Macaca fascicularis: one gene and its partner. The protein of the gene in region 1 purifies or fractionates together with the protein of each later gene. This does not show direct contact. Links are inferred from orthologs where the notes say so. Each region holds a gene or a part of one and is shown in the gene's direction. Other genes may lie near its edges.

The links.
Region 2: the proteins of ATP1A1 (region 1) and HADHB fractionate together in Homo sapiens (co-fractionation; 3 studies listed by BioGRID, with this or other methods). This does not show direct contact. The link is inferred for Macaca fascicularis from reciprocal best matches to the Homo sapiens genes ATP1A1 and HADHB.

Annotation. Positions count from the first base shown.
Region 1 is NC_088375.1:118,010,936-118,014,587, reverse strand, and holds part of ATP1A1 (sodium/potassium-transporting ATPase subunit alpha-1), read left to right. Parts: intron 1-838; coding exon 839-949; intron 950-1,619; coding exon 1,620-1,679; intron 1,680-3,652. UniProt on the Homo sapiens protein: This is the catalytic component of the active enzyme, which catalyzes the hydrolysis of ATP coupled with the exchange of sodium and potassium ions across the plasma membrane.
Region 2 is NC_088387.1:95,960,785-95,964,436, reverse strand, and holds part of HADHB (trifunctional enzyme subunit beta, mitochondrial), read left to right. Parts: intron 1-1,204; coding exon 1,205-1,292; intron 1,293-3,043; coding exon 3,044-3,231; intron 3,232-3,563; coding exon 3,564-3,652. UniProt on the Homo sapiens protein: Mitochondrial trifunctional enzyme catalyzes the last three of the four reactions of the mitochondrial beta-oxidation pathway.

The DNA of each region.
Region 1 (3,652 bases):
CAAAACATTTCCAGAGACTTTCATTTGGAGGTTTTATTTTCACGCTACAGAATGGGGTGGGGGCTCCCTTTTTTTTTAATCTCTTATGCAAAGAATTTTAAGGAGTCTTAGGCTGACTTTTTAATATGAGAAGCTGGTAAAGGTGAGTGTTCTTATGTGAGCACTAAAGATATTTAAATTTGATATGTAATAATGTATTTGCAAAGCAAAGAATATAAATAATATAAAAGTACTAGCATTTAGATGTCTTGTATCATTTAATCCTTAAAAACACAAAATGAGGTTGGCAGTATTCTTTATCTCCATGCTATGGAAGAGGAAATTGAAATGTAGGAGTTAGTAACTTGCCTAAGGATACATTGCTGGTAAGTGGTAAAGCCCAGGATTTTAACTCAAGCCTGTCTGATTGAGACTGCGGACTCATAAGCACAATATTGCACTCTAAATTAATAATGTAAAGTTAGTTTCAGTCTTTCAGTAGGGAAGATGGAAGGCTGCAGAATAGGGATTTTGATAGCAAAAATCTCATTAACCCCAAATGGAAGTGGCGCTGGCAGGGCCATTCTGAAGCCTACCGGTGGCTTCATAGGTGTTAAGAGTTTCCCACTGGTCTTAATGCTCTTGGATGGAGAGAATGTATCTTAAGCCAATGTATTAATAGTAGATTGCTTTGCTTATGTAGTATGCAATATACAGGCATACATTTTCTTGACTATTATCTTAATGACTATTCCAAATTATGACTACCTTAAAAACTACCAAAATCCCCTGCTCCAGAATTTTCAGTTTCAGATGAGGTCATAATTCATAGCCTTACTTTTCCCATATTCTCCTACAGGTTGGACGTGATAAGTATGAGCCTGCAGCTGTTTCAGAACAAGGTGATAAAAAGGGCAAAAAGGGCAAAAAAGACAGGGACATGGATGAACTGAAGAAAGAAGTTTCTATGGTAAGTACTAGGAGGAATATTGTATTCCATCCTTATTAAAAATCCATGATTTTTAATCCCCCAAACCTCACTGTATTCTTCAGTCAAAGAACTGCTTTATATTAAAAGAGATCATAGCAGCTGTACAGATCTCATCTTGTTGTAGAGGTTAATATTGAACATTTTCTTTTTAAAAGCTGTTAGAGGATAGGAAAAGTTAATGCAGTCATCTGGCATAACCACAGATCAACAGAAGGAACTTAGGTTGATATCATGAGTCTTTGCTTTTCTCTGTATTATATCAAACACTGGGAAATTCAGCCTCTCCAGGCTATGGAAGCTTCCATCTACTTAACCTGTCTAGAATTGACCTAGTCATCAGAGAAGGCAGATAAGGTTTTACTAGATCCCTGAGAGCTGCTGGGTTTCTCTGAAGTGTTGCGGCAAGTAGTAATGGGCCACCGTCACTCAGCTTCAGCCATTCTCCAGTGAAGAGCTGTCAATGATAGCTGTATGGTTGTGAAGCCATGAAGCGATGGTGAAAAGTGTACCAACTTCTGCACTGAAGAAAACATCTGCACTTCGTTTAATAAGCTTAATGATAGTAATGAGTAATGCTATTTTTTTGTCATTTTTTTATACTACACTGTTTATTTTCTTTGTTTCTGTTTTTTTTTTTTTTTTCCCTTAGGATGATCATAAACTTAGCCTTGATGAACTTCATCGTAAATATGGAACAGACTTGAGCCGGGTATGTTCTAGTTTGAAGGCTGTTGTACAAATCCTAGTTTTCCGTATTGTACTTTCCCCTGTATTGCATACAGGTCTAACTTCAGGGGCTCTAGTAAGAAAACGACAGACACATCTGCGTATCTAGTATGTGACATGCACAGAGCTTGGGCTTTTATATGCTACTGTTTCTTTTCCCTGAAACTTTTTGAAAGTGGATGTTATTTTCTTCTCCCTATTTTATAGTAGTTGAGAGCCAGTAAGTGGGAACACCAGGAGTTGCAGTTGGCTTCAAAGCCATGCTTATGCCTTGACCTTTTGATGATACTTTTTCCCTTTATTTTTCTACATTTGTTAAATTCAGTTGAATATTTCACCTAGTTGAATCTTCAACAGTTCACATTTTTGCCCTTTTCCCAGCTAGTCCGTTGCAGTATGTTATGGTTATACTATCATTTGTTTAGTTATTCCATCATTTATTTGTAAATTGTTTTGCACAAAATTTAAAGAAACCTTTTCATAAAATACACGTTATGTATCCTTGTTATCTAGAGGATTTTGACATTAAATGTGTAACAAATGTTATAAAAGTAAATAGTCTAGGCATGTCTTATTTCCAGATAATCACTGAAAAGTCTGGGAATAACTTGAATAGCAAGCCAATATGTAGTATTTTTTCAGTAAGGCATCAAGAGCCATGGGTACTGTGGTGTTCTGATATATATTGTTTTTTGTCCACAGTTCCTGGTTCATAACTCCCTTAGCCCTTATTACAGTCTTTTGTTATAATGTTGGGTGTGTTAGACCTCGGTGTCAGGCTTCAAGAAACAGGATCTCTCTCCTGCCCTCCTTTCACCTGCCACAAGGCAAGACTCTAATCTTGTTCCACTTTTCTGATTTTCCAGGTAGATAGTGTTGGAATTGAACTGGAGGAAATCTTGGTGGTGGGGAGAAACCGCCACACCTTTGGTCACAGAAGTCATCTTCTGTGTTGATTGTTGTGGTGTAAGAGTAGAGAAGAGGCCGGGTGCAGTGGCTCATTCCTGTAATCTCAGCACTTTGGGAGGCCAAGGCTGGTGGATCACCTGAGGTCAGGAGTTTGAGACCAGCCTGACCACCATAGAGAAACCCCGTCTCTACTAAAAATACAAAATTAGCCGGGTGTGGTGGTGTGTGCCTGTAATCCCAGCTACTCGGGAGGCTGAGGCAGGAGAACTGCTTACACCTGGGAGGTGGAGGTTGCAGTGAGCCGAGGTTGCGCCATTGCACTCCAGCCTGGACAACAAGAGTGAAACTCTGTCTCAAAAAAAAAAAAAAAAAGAAAAGAAAAAAGAAAGAGTAGAGAAGAACGTGGTTTGAGAGCGTTTTTCTTGACACAGGCACTTTAAGCTCCAAGAGGAGGCCTCGACTCGACTCAGAACAACATGCCAACAGTGACTCTGCTCACTGTGTGCCAGGCAGTCTCTGTTGCCACTTCACATCTCACTTAGGTTTTTATTAGAGTCTTAATTAAGTGTGCTCTCTCCGACCTATGCCCATTACTCAAATGCTGTGGGTCTATTTCCTTCCTTGTAAAATGAGGTTAATAATGCCTTAAAAAGGATTGTCATGAGAATTAAACAAGTTAATTAAAACACTGAATTCAGTTCCTGGCATGTAGATAGCACTCAAATGTTTGGTAACATGAGCACAAAATACAGGTAAATAGATTCTTTAGACAAAAATATTTTATTTTTTTTGACTTGATATTTTGAGAGTATAAAAGTGATCATATTTTCCTCTCTTAATGAGAGCTTATATATAATTGCCTGCTGTCAGTGAATCTTGGGTTTAAGACCCATTAGAAAAATAGCAGGCTTTAGTAGATTTTTCCAGTGAGTACTTTTCAGTCAACAGGTTTATTGGGAGTTGGCTAAAATGTACATGGAGGTGAGCCCTTGCCTACCAGACAAGCAAAGAATCAAGCTGTATATTTAAAACTTGGCTGTTAACCCA
Region 2 (3,652 bases), on another chromosome or scaffold:
ATTGAGACTTTGGAAACATTTATTTTACTAAGTTATAGGAGAGTTTGCATTCTGAGGATAATTAGTTTTGGAAAAGAGTACTAAAAATGAATTCCCTATAATGGGATCCAGTATTTCATAGTAAATAGTGTGTGGGTGTGTATGTGGAGGGAAATCTGGAAGCTTTATTTCTAAAGTAAAACTTTAATATTATAAAAATAAGTATTTTACAGTTGCACCTATGCATTAATTATTTACATAAACAAAAATGGGATCAGACATTGATTGGTTTTTGGCAGCATAATTTCCCCCAATAAATAGTATAATAAAATTATAGATGTCCTCATTTCATGTTTGACTTTCACTGTGCCATTATAATAGAGGCCATTTTTACAAGATTAATGATGACCTCAGTTTTTCTTAAAGCCGCTCAGATGACAAATTATTCTCTCTGTATCACCTATTATGCCATCATCCTGGCCACTTGTTAACTGGTCTGACCCTTACTTGTTCACAGGCTCACTTGTAACTCAGGCAATTCTCCAGTTTCTTTCATTGAGTTGAGCTTCTGTATAGTTGGCAAGTTTTCCAGTTCATCTTTGCATTGGGTCTGCAGTGTGCTAACCAAAGTATCAGATGGTCAGTAAGAGAGAACAGCTGGCCGTGAGCAGAAAGATAGGTGTAAAGCAAATAGGGTCTTGAGTGGGAACTCTGTTTATGAATGGTCAGTTCTTTAGAAATCATTTTCATGTTTAATCACTTTTGCTTTGCTGCTAAGCTTTGTGACTGATCATGAGACCTGATAACACAGATTGTGAAGACTCCAACCCATAATATATTTCATCATCATTTCACCAACTGTCTTTAATAGGTTCCTTTAAGTATATTTGAACATTAAACAAGTTAAAATCAAATTATATATTGATATCCTTGAAGGCCCTGAGCAAAGCATCGATAAGAAATTAGGTGAGTTAGAAGAGTATTATAGCCTCGTGTCTGCACTAGAAACCAGCCAGCAGGAATTTTGCATATACCTGTCAATTAATGGCATGATTAAATATTAGTAAACCATTTCTGTGATAGGCTTAATTTTATTTTAAATATTGCTCTGGAGAATTTTAAACTGAAACCCTTTTCAGATGACCATAAAGATTAGTGTTCAAAGCATCATTTACATGATGCCCTTCCCTTAGAGTGATCATTTCATTCACTGTATTTCCTGAAGGCTGCCCTTGGAGCTGGCTTCTCTGACAAGACTCCTGCTCACACTGTCACCATGGCTTGTATCTCTGCCAACCAAGCCATGACCACAGGTATGTTTAAATGGAAGCAGACGGCACATGTTAATTTTCCTCCTTTGTCTTTTACTTGATTATAAAAATGTACTTTTTTTTTTTTTTTTTTTTTTAAACAGAATCTCACTCTGTCACTCGGGCTGCAGTGCATTGGCACCATCGTAGCTCACTGCAGGCTCAAACTCTTGAACTCAGGAGATCCTCCTGCCTTAGGATCCCAAGTAGCTGGGTCTACAGGCACTCCACCACACCCAGCTAATTTTTCAGTTTTCTGTGGAGACAGGATCTCGCCATGTTGCCCAGGCTGGTCTTACACCTCTGGCCTCAAGTGATCCTTCTACCTCAACCTCCAAAGTGCTGGGATTACAGGCATGAGCCACCAAGCTCATCCCAAAAAGTACTCTTAGGAGAAGTGATAGATTAGCACAGATCTCTACTTGTGTTTTTTAAAAAGAAAGGTCAAGTTTAAAATTTGGGAGTTCTAACCATAGTTAACCTCTCTTTTTGCTCTCCATACCTGAGGGATGTTACCATTGGCGTGGTTCCTCTGTGAATAATGTGGCTGGCTGCAGCAGGGATTATCAAATGGAGGAGTATATCTCTAGGAAGGTACTTAAGCATCTGAAGCATGAGTAAATAGTTTACAACCTGCCAGGCTTTCAACCTAGTGCTTCAGATATGATATTTTCCCACAAAGATATGGTCTTCCTTCCTTCACCACTACCATACTTGTAAATCATTGCTTTAGATGGCACAGCTCTTTCCTTCACTTTCTTCCCGCATCCTTGGCATTTTTATAAATCATTGAAAATTCCCCTAACAAATTTTAACAAAATTACGGGGTATTTTGTAGCATCAGCCCGTAGTGTGAAGAGACAGGAAATCTGAAAGATTTAGTAATCATATGCTCGTCTAGTAACATCAAGGCCCAGGTGGGCAGCCCACTTCATATGTGGCAGGGAATGATGCCTGTGACTGGGGGTGTTCACCACTCTAGGCAGCATGTGACCAACTCTTGGTTAGAGAAACAGAATAGGCTCAGCGCGGTGGCTCACGCCTGTAATCCCAACACTTTGGGAGGCCAAGGTGGGTGGATCACGAGGTCAGGAGATCGAGAACATCCTGGCTAACACAGAGAAACCCTGTCTCTACTAAAAATACAAAAAAAAAAATTAGCCAGGCATGGTGGTAGGCGCCTGTAGTCCCAGCTACTTGGGAGGCTGAGGCAGGAGAATGGTGTGAACCCGGGAGGCGGAGCTTGCAATGAGCCAAGATCGCACCACTGCACTCCAGCCTGGGAGACAGAGCGAGACTCCGTCTCAAAAAAGAAAAAAAGAGAATAGTGGCCATAAGGAGAGAGGGGGCCTGCCTTACATTTTAACAGCTGGAATTTCTCTGCTTTGTAGCAGAAGTTAACATTCTCTTTATAAGATAAAAAAATATTTCTTAAAACTAAAGCTGGGAGCGCATAAATATGCAAGATGTTCTGGTTTGGAATAATGATTTGTTCAAGAGTTGGTCCAATGGATATTTCTAGAAGTTGATGTCCATATGGCAGGAATGAAAACTTGTTTTTCTCTAACGTGTTGAATGTGTTTTTAGTCATTTAAAACAATTACCTTAATTCTTCTGAAAAGTTGAAAACTTTAATTACAGATGTTGTACAAAGCTGATAACTGTTATTCAGCCTTTTAATCAAGAAGCTTAAATTGGAATGGTATGTTATTTTCTGTAAAAGATATTCATGAAGTATAACCTGTGCCCTGTAGGCGTTGGCTTGATTGCTTCTGGCCAGTGTGATGTGATCGTGGCAGGTGGTGTTGAGTTGATGTCCGATATCCCTATTCGTCACTCAAGGAAAATGAGAAAACTGATGCTTGATCTCAATAAGGCCAAATCTATGGGCCAGCGACTGTCTTTAATCTCTAAATTCCGATTGAATTTCCTAGCACCTGAGGTAAGGCTTGTGTTTGCAGGGCATCCCACTGCAGAGATTTAGAATTAGGTATGGCAATGTGGACTCTGCTATGCTGTAGTAGGTGTAGATTCTGTAGTTACAGGAAAGGGTTATTTGGTAAAGTTGAAAAAAAAACATAGTGGGTAGAAAACTTTAATTTGTGAGCCCTCTTTAGAGATCCTCTGCTGACAAAGGACTTCCCTTGTCTTGGTCTTGATTGATTAATGGTAAACAAATAGATTTTAACTTTTCCAAATAACACAGAACAATCCTAGGTGTTGGAAGAACGCCTGTTAACAGTGTACCTGCTTCTCGGATATCTCCTTTCCCAGCTTCCTGCGGTTGCTGAGTTCTCCACCAGTGAGACCATGGGCCACTCTGCAGACCGACTGGCTGCCGCCTTTGCTGTTTCTCGGCTGGA